Oryza sativa Japonica Group: one gene and its partner. The protein of the gene in region 1 interacts with the protein of each later gene in a pairwise test. Links are inferred from orthologs where the notes say so. Each region holds a gene or a part of one and is shown in the gene's direction. Other genes may lie near its edges. The genes, in order: uncharacterized protein and protein BTR1.

Region 1 (4,359 bases):
CTTTAAATACGTTTGCAAATTAAAATTGAACATATTCGAATTCTAGGGGCCGATATGCAAATTATTTATGGATCCTAACAAGTGTAGCTTGCATTATGGACACATAGTATCTTTAGAGATGGTTTTATCTTAGGTGATGTTTGGAGACTCTTATAGGAACAATGCTTGACACACCAACGAGTTTTCCTAGCTGCTATATAGGCCCAAGCATCACATATAACTCAATAAAGCAAACTCAAATGGACCCAACTTTACTAAGAAAACACTGCGCGACCATACGGCTCACACGACGTGACGAGAGAACAACCCCGGCAATACGGACGCTGAGTGGTGTCCCACGGCTTGCTGCCCTACTCGCGTCATGGATCACGTGACTTTGAGCCCGACTCTCGGCATGGACTCGAATTTTTTTAACGTGTCATTTTGGGACAACGATGCCGGTGTGTCCCCATTGTCCTTACTCTCCCCTTCGCCCACACCATCTCCATCGCCGGGCGGTCCTCAGCCATGCTCGAGACCATCGCTGCCCCCTGGCTTGAAGTGTAGCCATGAAGGAGAGGAGGGGCGCTAGGCAGGGAAAGAGGATAGGAGGGAGAGGACCCGGGTAGGGGGATAGGAGCGATGGTGGGAATAGGAGCTACATAGTTGTCACTCGATCTCAAGGACTGGACGAAGAAGTGCCGATCCAGTCGGCGGTGTGGAGAGCGGAGGAAGGAACGACAATTCTGTCAATGGCGCACTAGCATGGAGGGAGAGACAAATGGGGAAAATGATGTGTGGGTACAAGGGGATGAGGGTGAGGGGTAATATGTAATTTTTTTTATGGATTGGAATAGATAACTTTAAATACGTTTGCAAATTAAAATTGAACATATTCGAATTCTAGGGGCCGATATGCAAATTATTTATGGATCCTAACAAGTGTAGCTTGCATTGTGGACACATAGTATCTTTAGAGATGGTTTTATCTTAGGTGATGTTTGGAGACTCTTATAGGAACAATGCTTGACACACCAACGAGTTTTCCTAGCTGCTATATAGGCCCAAACATCACATATAACTCAATAAAGCAAACTCAAATGGACCCAACTTTACTAAGAAAACACTGCGCGACCATACGGCTCACACGACGTGACGAGAGAACGACCCCGGCAACACGGACGCTGAGTGGTGTCCCACGACTTGCTGCCCTACTCGCGTGATGGATCACGTGACTTTGAGCCTGACTCTTGGCATGGACTCGAATTTTTTTAACGTGTCATTTTGGGACAATACTCCACGTACTCGCACTGAATGTCTAAAAAATACAAACAAAGTGAAAAAAATATTATGATGGTTACTTCACAAGTTAGAAAATTTTGCATGTTCTTTATTCGATCCAAAAGGGCCTGAAATCAGCTGAAAGCTGCTTTGCTAGGCTGGGCCGGAGGACGCACCTCACCTCACCTCACCTCGTCATCTCATCTGCGTGCGCTGCTGCCTCTCTCTCTCTCTCTCTCTCTCTCTCTCCCCGAAACCCCCAAAACCCAATCTCTCTCTAGGGTTAGGGTTTGTGCCCGCGCGCCACCTCCTCCCCTCCCCTCCGCCGCCGCCGCCCCGATGGCCGGAACGATCCACCCGTTCCACCAGCAGTGGCCGCCGGCGGCGGGCGCGCCCGCGCCGGCCGCCGCCGTCCCGCCGCCACCCCCCGTGCCGGGCGTCCCAGGCGCGCCCGACGCCGCCGCCGCAGCCGCCGCCGCCGCCGCCGCGGCGGCGGCGGCTGCCGCCCGCCCCGACGAGGTCCGCACCATCTTCATCACGGGGCTCCCCACCGACGTCAAGGAGCGGGAGCTCCACAACCTGCTCCGCTGGCTCCCCGGGTTCGAGGCCTCCCAGATCAACTTCAAGGGCGACCAGCCCATGGGGTTCGCGCTCTTCTCCTCCGCGCACCACGCCATCGCCGCCAAGGCCGCGCTGCAGGTGCTAGGGTTTTTTCTCTCTCTCTTTGGGGTCTCCATGGCGGGGTTGGTTATAGGGTTTGGGTGGATGGTGGTGTGACACGAGTTTCTCTCTGCAGGATCTCATCTTCGATGCGGAGACCAAGACGGCGCTGCACACCGAGATGGCCAAGAAGAACCTCTTCGTCAAGAGAGGTGCGTTCCCCTTTGTCGATGTGCGCTCGCTTTCGCTGTCATGTTGTGCAGATCAACCTGATAAATTTTTGGTTGGATGGAATTGGTCCATATAAATGTAGCCATGTTTGCGCATACTGCTTTGTATCATGGAAGCTTTCACCTTTTATCATTTATTATGAAGCTTGGCAGAGAATGGCAATGAATATGCAGTTCATTTCTTGTTGCATATTTTCTGAAGCTTATGTGTAATATTAGAATAATTCGATATGGGAAAGGTGGCCTGCTATTGGAGCTTTGATGTCTTCCTTTAAACTGTTTGGTAAACCTATGCAGGTCAGGACATTTAACCAATGTGTAGGTGAATTGGTGGTTTTCATATGGCTTCATAAAACTTTTACAGGATTTAGTTCTGTGTTGTGAGATAAGCACATTCAAGGCTATTATTGTTTTACCAAAGCTTTCTGTTGCCAAATTTTAATCTTTGAAAATGTTATTGTAGCATTTCATATAAGCTTTAGGAAATATGCAAATGAAATAAAGATGAACTAATGATTATAGAATTAGTGATTGTGATAAAATTACTATAACTTGATGAAGAAACCTGGTGACAATAATGTTCCACGTACTCCTTATATTGGGCTGTTGTTTATTTCCATTTACTCCATGAAATGGTTACTACACTGTTATGCATATCCATTATGCGCTGAATTAATTAAGGCTTATGTTAGGTGTGGGAAACGATGCAAATGCTATGGACCAAAGTAAACGCTTGCGGACTGGTGGAGATTATACTCATTCTCCTTATGCTGCTCCCCCATATCATCCACCCCCACCAGCTGTTTCCATGTGGGGAACTCCAGGGTAAATTTCTTAATTTGTTGCTCTTTCTTTCAACTAATTATGCACAGCTATGGAGCTCTATAATCCTTTTTTTCTTTTGTGTATCATTCAGTTATATCGCGGCACCTCCACCTTACAATCATTATGCTGCCTATTCAGTGCCTCCTGTGGCAATGACTTCACCTTCTCCCGTACCAGGTCCAACTGCCTATGCTCCTGTTCAGGTACTTCGGAGTTATGTTATATATCTCACCTTGGTTTTGAGCTTAATCTTAGGAAAGTTAAATATTATTTCCTGATTAAATTTGACACAGGTCATTGGATAGCTCCGTTGTGTGCACATCATCTCTATTTCTTTGTATTAACTGTTATGTAAGATATAATATGATGAATTCATATTTGCTTATATAGAGAAGTCTAAATCTATGGCCCCTGCACTTTACAACCTGTGACGAAACCACTTGAATAACATCATTCAAAGACAACCTCTTCCTTTTTTTCATCCACTTGAATATAATTGAACTATGAACATTGATAAAAATAAACTAGACTCTGTTGCCTTTACCTATCCTCTATAACTTCTCAAGTTCCTCCCTAAAAAATAACCAGGTAATATGTGCACAAATGTGTGAGTACATAAAGTCTTGTTTGCAAAGATGCTTGTGGTGTTTTTCATTGAACATAATGCTTGTCATGATTTTGGTTAATAAATTGTAATGCTATTAAAAATAAGAGGTGGTTGCTGCATTGCTGATGCAGAATACATTGTTTGGGGTCAATATTTTGACTGCTTTATACTGTTCAGTTTTCTGAAATCTAGTATTAATGGTATATTTTGATTTCTCTTTTTCAGAATACAAAGGATAACCCTCCCTGTAATACCCTTTTCATTGGTAATCTTGGAGAAACTGTTATTGAAGAGGAATTGCGGAGCCTCTTCAGCGTGTAAGAATCGACGCCAATATCGTTGTCTATTGTGTGCAGTGGTGTTGCATGGTATGGTTCTAGAAAGTAGATACAACAGTTCTAACTGATTATTATTCATTTTCCTTTCAGGCAACCTGGTTATAAACAAATGAAGGTGTTGCGCCAAGACAGGAACACTGTTTGTTTCATTGAGTTTGAGGTAGGTACTTACAATATTGTAATTTTATCTTAACCTTATCCTACATTCTTATGCATCTCACTGTTTGTTAAATTTTAGGATGTGAATGCTGCATCAGCTGTACACCATAATCTACAGGGTGCTGTTATTCCTAGCTCTGGTCGTGGTGGAATGCGAATTCAATATCCTTTATTTGCTCAATGAAATAAAATAATCACTTACATTAACATTAGATATTTATGTTTCCTTTGCTAATTTTATATGGTTTGTAAGTCCTTAACGTCTTGAACATTTTCGAAA
Region 2 (4,502 bases), on another chromosome or scaffold:
GTCCTCAGCAGCAGAGTCCTTAAACAGCGAACTTGCAGAGGTGACATCAGCCATTGAGACTGTCAGCGAGAAGATTATCATGGAAGAAGAGAAGTTCAAGAAGTGGAGGACGGAGAACATCAGGAGGAAGCACAACTACATTCCCTTTCTATTCAACTTTCTCAAGATGCTGGCGGAAAAGAAGCAGCTAAAGCCATTGGTTGAGAAGGCCAAACAACAGAAGGCTTCCAGCACAAGCACGAGTGCAAGATGAAGCCAAGTGCCACCAATGGCTGTACCGAATTCGTTGGTTCTCATTTTGAGGAAAGCATACGTTCATGGGTTACTGGGGTTAGTTGTTGCATTTTCCCTTTTTGAGAATGCGTTATGCTATCAGATACGGCACCTTGTTGGCAGCTTAGAGATATCACTAAGTTAATGAACCAGAGTACATTCTCTTTAATCTTTTTCTCCGTGTTGTATTATTATCTGTTATGACTTTCTGCCCTTGTGTGATGGATAGAAACTGTAGAAGAGGTCAATTGGGTCTTAAGGGTGGTGGCATTGTTTATTTCGCGTCGTGGCAATCGAATAGAAAAATACATGTTGGAGGATGGAAGTTTTGTGTCTAGATGCTGTCTTGGAAATGCCCACTTGCTAATCTTACTTGAATTAGATAGATGCTGTGAGTGTATCCATGACCATGAGAGAGCTGGAGCCTAGTGCTGGTAGAGTTGACTTTCCTGAGTGAAATCGCTTGCTTGGGTTGGCTTGTAGATATAAGTATAAGAAAACGGATAAGAAAATTCAGGCAATGAATCTGATGCGCATGTGATTGATTCTGGTGGGATTTCTATAGGACATCTGATTTTCTGTTGAACAGTTAACGCAAACGACAGGTTTGAATGATACAGTATTCGAACTTGTTTTTTTTTTCTCTTGTCATCAAGATTCATAATTGTTGGAGCATGAATGATCTGGTGTGCAACCTCTTAAGCTCTATAGCTAGGACGTTGCTGTCATCTCTGTTGTTGCACCAGCTAAAGGACGAATTGTGACCAAAACCCGAATTGTGACCAAAACCTTTGGGACTTTCAGAGTGATCTTTCTGTCGCACTTGCACACACTCTTTTGTCATTCAGAGTGGTTATTATCCACCCATTTTGAAACAGGATTTCAAGAAATTAGGGGACAAAAAGAAATTATACACATTGGATTTGAAGAAATTTAGAGCTGGTGTCGTACTCCTATTTTATTTTGGTCTATTATCCCATACTTATGCAGATCAGCTGGATGGATTGCATCGTCAGATATTCTTACAAAACAAACTTGCTCAAACCAAGACCAGATTAGATTAGATTTTGTTGTGAATACAAAGTCAAGCAACAACAAAAAAAAAAGAGATTGAGAAAGAGTGGCGAGTTGCGACGTGACCAATGGAAACTCGAAAAACAGAAAAGCGAAGGATAATAAAAACTCATAAAAAGGGGAGGAGGGAGAAAGAAGCGAGAGGCGCATTTGTTGTCGTTGTTGTTGGTTCCATGCCGTAGGCCCATCGCGATCTACTAGTGTTTTTTTGCCTCTCTCCCCCCTCCACGCCTCCACCCCCACCCCCACCCCCACCACTCCCCCCCCCCTCCGCCTCCGCCCTCCGCCGCCGCCGCCATGGAAGCCCCGGGCTCCCCCTACGCCTCCTCGCCGGAGTCCGCCCCCAAGCGCGCCCCCCGCTCCTCGCCCCCGCCCCCGCAGCAGCAGGCCTCCTCCGAAGGTAACCCGCTCGCGCCTCCCATCCCCCCATCTCACTCTCGATATCGATCTCTCTCAACGTGGTGCGCGCGTACGTGCGCCCTCGCGCGCGGTTTGGTCTGGATCCGCGAGATCCAGGCCTCCGTGTTCCGCTCTGAGATCGAGATCTGCAACCACGGGCGGCAAATATGGTGGTCACATGGATAACACTAGGCCGCTGCTGATTTGGGCGTGTTCTGCGTTTGTGTGCGCTTGTGCAATGGAGAGGGGAGATGCAACGATCAGTTGTTTCAGTGGTAGTTGATTTCATGTTCATCTTGTCCGCTGGGGTGATTTGGCACCGGTTGATGTTGACGATGAGTTCATCCGATGCGTTTCTGTGTATGCATCACAAGTTTATTAACATGTCCAAGCGCGGTTAGTAACAGCTGCATGTGTGATCATATACAATGAGCTTACACATAAGAGTTGCAATTTGATGAGTACCATCATTTAATTGTAGAGTTGAGTTGACCACATGAGACGTATACCGATATGCATCGCTATCTGTACTCTTACTAGCGATGACTTGCTGGATGATGCCGTGGTTGGGTCTGTCACTCTGTTGATGTTCAGGGTTTTCTACTTTTCGCAGTGGAACCGACACGTAGATATAATAAGTATTCTAGGAATTCAACCCTACATCTTGATTGTCTATCCCACAGTAGTCTGAACACACCCAGCCATTTACTTAACATTGTGATAACTGATATTGGATGTTGTTTCACTTTGTTGGTTGTTGGCCTGTAAATATATTTTTTCGGGGAAATTGCAATTGGGGAACAAGAGGATGCTTACAGGAAATGCGAAGTCATGCACACTCTATTTAGCAAGCACATCTCACCTTTCTGGCATATGCCAATCATTAATCTTGTCCATTATGGTTTCCTCGGGTCTTTGGTTGACACACTTATTGCCTTTAAAGTGTTATCATTATATGTTGGTTGTTCTAATGGTTCATTAGTTACATCAAAATATAAGAAATATAAAGTTCTCCTGATCCACCTTGAGTGGAAAGGTATTTAACTCAGTCCTGTCAATTGCTGCTTTCACTCTGTTCGTAGCATATTCCTACCATTATGCTTGTTGCTAATTCATGTTTTTTAACTTGTTATATGTTCAAGGAGAATATGATAGACCATGCCAAAATATAATTCGGTCATAATGTGAATGACCCTCTTGTTATTGTTCCCAACAAGCATACATGACACAACTGTATATACCAAACTTCTAAACTACACTGACTGGAAACCAAAATTCAGTCAGTAGTGGTTCTACAGAACATGTATAGTTAAGTGCCCCAGTTGGACCATTAGCTGTTTTTACTATGCATCATGGACCACTTTTGTTGCTTGAGTTAAAAAAAACAATTTTGTGCCTAAACAAATAATGGCATGCACAGTTTTTGGCCCTCTCCTTTATTGCTAGTAATTCTGAATTTCCAAGTGATCATTCTCCACAGATGACAAGGAGAAGCCAACCCATCTGAGGTTTCTGGTATCAAACACGGCAGCAGGATGCATTATTGGCAAGGGTGGATCAACCATTAATGAATTTCAGTCCCAGTCTGGGGCTCGTATTCAGCTATCGCGTAGCCATGAGTTCTTCCCTGGTACAAATGACAGAATTATCATGGTTTCTGGTCTGTTTGATGAAGTAATAAAGGCCATGGAGCTGATTCTCGAGAAGCTTTTAGCTGAGGTAAACTATTTTATTCCGCAAATAGTTGTATCATAGGGCCATGTTACTTTATTTGATGATTGGTATTCTATGGTTACTTTCCCAGGGGGAAGAAAGCAATGAAGCTGAAGCTAGACCTAAAGTTAGACTTGTAGTTCCTAACAGTTCTTGTGGTGGAATCATTGGTAAAGGAGGGTCAACAATCAAGTATGTACCATTGATAAATTTGTTTCTGGTTTCTGAAATCTTATTTTTATTCTTATTCCCATTGCGCTTCTTCATTTTCTTAGTTGGTTATAATGTATGTATACCATGAAGCGTGTCTGAACCGAATGAGGAAATGCATGGTTATTTTCCTAATGCACTCATCTTTGACTTAACTGCACCCAAGTTATTGCATGCTCTCTTGTCAATTGTACGCAAGCAGTATTTGTTGTTTCATTTGTATTGTTTTGTGTTGGTTTATGTTTCTTTGAATGTGAGTTGACATGCTTGTTTTCTCATCAGGTCATTCATTGAAGACTCACATGCTGGAATCAAGATTTCACCACAGGATAACAATTTTGTTGGTTTGCATGATAGACTCGTTACTGTCACAGGACCCTTGGACCATCAGATGCGTGCAATATATTTGATATTAAGCAAGTTATCGGAGGACGTTCACTACCCACCTAATCTGAGTTCCCCATTTCCATATGCAGGTAAACAAATTTCAATATTTGATTTGGTGTCAAACGGCTACTTTTCTTATTATGGGGTGCCTTAATTCTCGGACTGCATTTCTTTTCTGGAATTCATATACTGCATTGTATAGGTCACAAATGAACATGCTTGGTCACTCGTACCATTTGGCAGCCATGAGCTTTCTGCATGAATTTTTATTCAGCTACTGCACGATTGTTCTCTTTCCGTTTCAGTGATCATGTTGAATGCGTTCACATGCTATGTCCATTCAGTTACTGCATGATCATTTTATCTGAATTCCTCTTCTTTTGTTTTCAGGCCTTGGTTTCCCTAGTTACCCTGGTGTTCCTGTTGGGTATATGATCCCACAGGTG

What was found.
Region 2: the proteins of uncharacterized protein (region 1) and protein BTR1 interact in a two-hybrid assay, tested with the Arabidopsis thaliana proteins (2 studies listed by BioGRID). The link is inferred for Oryza sativa Japonica Group from reciprocal best matches to the Arabidopsis thaliana genes AT3G21215 and BTR1L.

Annotation. Positions count from the first base shown.
Region 1 is NC_089042.1:9,178,017-9,182,375, forward strand, and holds the start of uncharacterized protein, read left to right. Parts: upstream 1-1,512; 5' UTR 1,513-1,599; coding exon 1,600-1,959; intron 1,960-2,056; coding exon 2,057-2,132; intron 2,133-2,842; coding exon 2,843-2,975; intron 2,976-3,066; coding exon 3,067-3,178; intron 3,179-3,807; coding exon 3,808-3,899; intron 3,900-4,010; coding exon 4,011-4,080; intron 4,081-4,158; coding exon 4,159-4,241; intron 4,242-4,349; coding exon 4,350-4,359.
Region 2 is NC_089036.1:35,794,644-35,799,145, forward strand, and holds the start of protein BTR1, read left to right. Parts: upstream 1-1,488; 5' UTR 1,489-1,644; coding exon 1,645-1,747; intron 1,748-3,226; coding exon 3,227-3,465; intron 3,466-3,550; coding exon 3,551-3,651; intron 3,652-3,951; coding exon 3,952-4,145; intron 4,146-4,446; coding exon 4,447-4,502. Other genes in the region: ubiquitin carboxyl-terminal hydrolase 2, read left to right, coding at 1-253.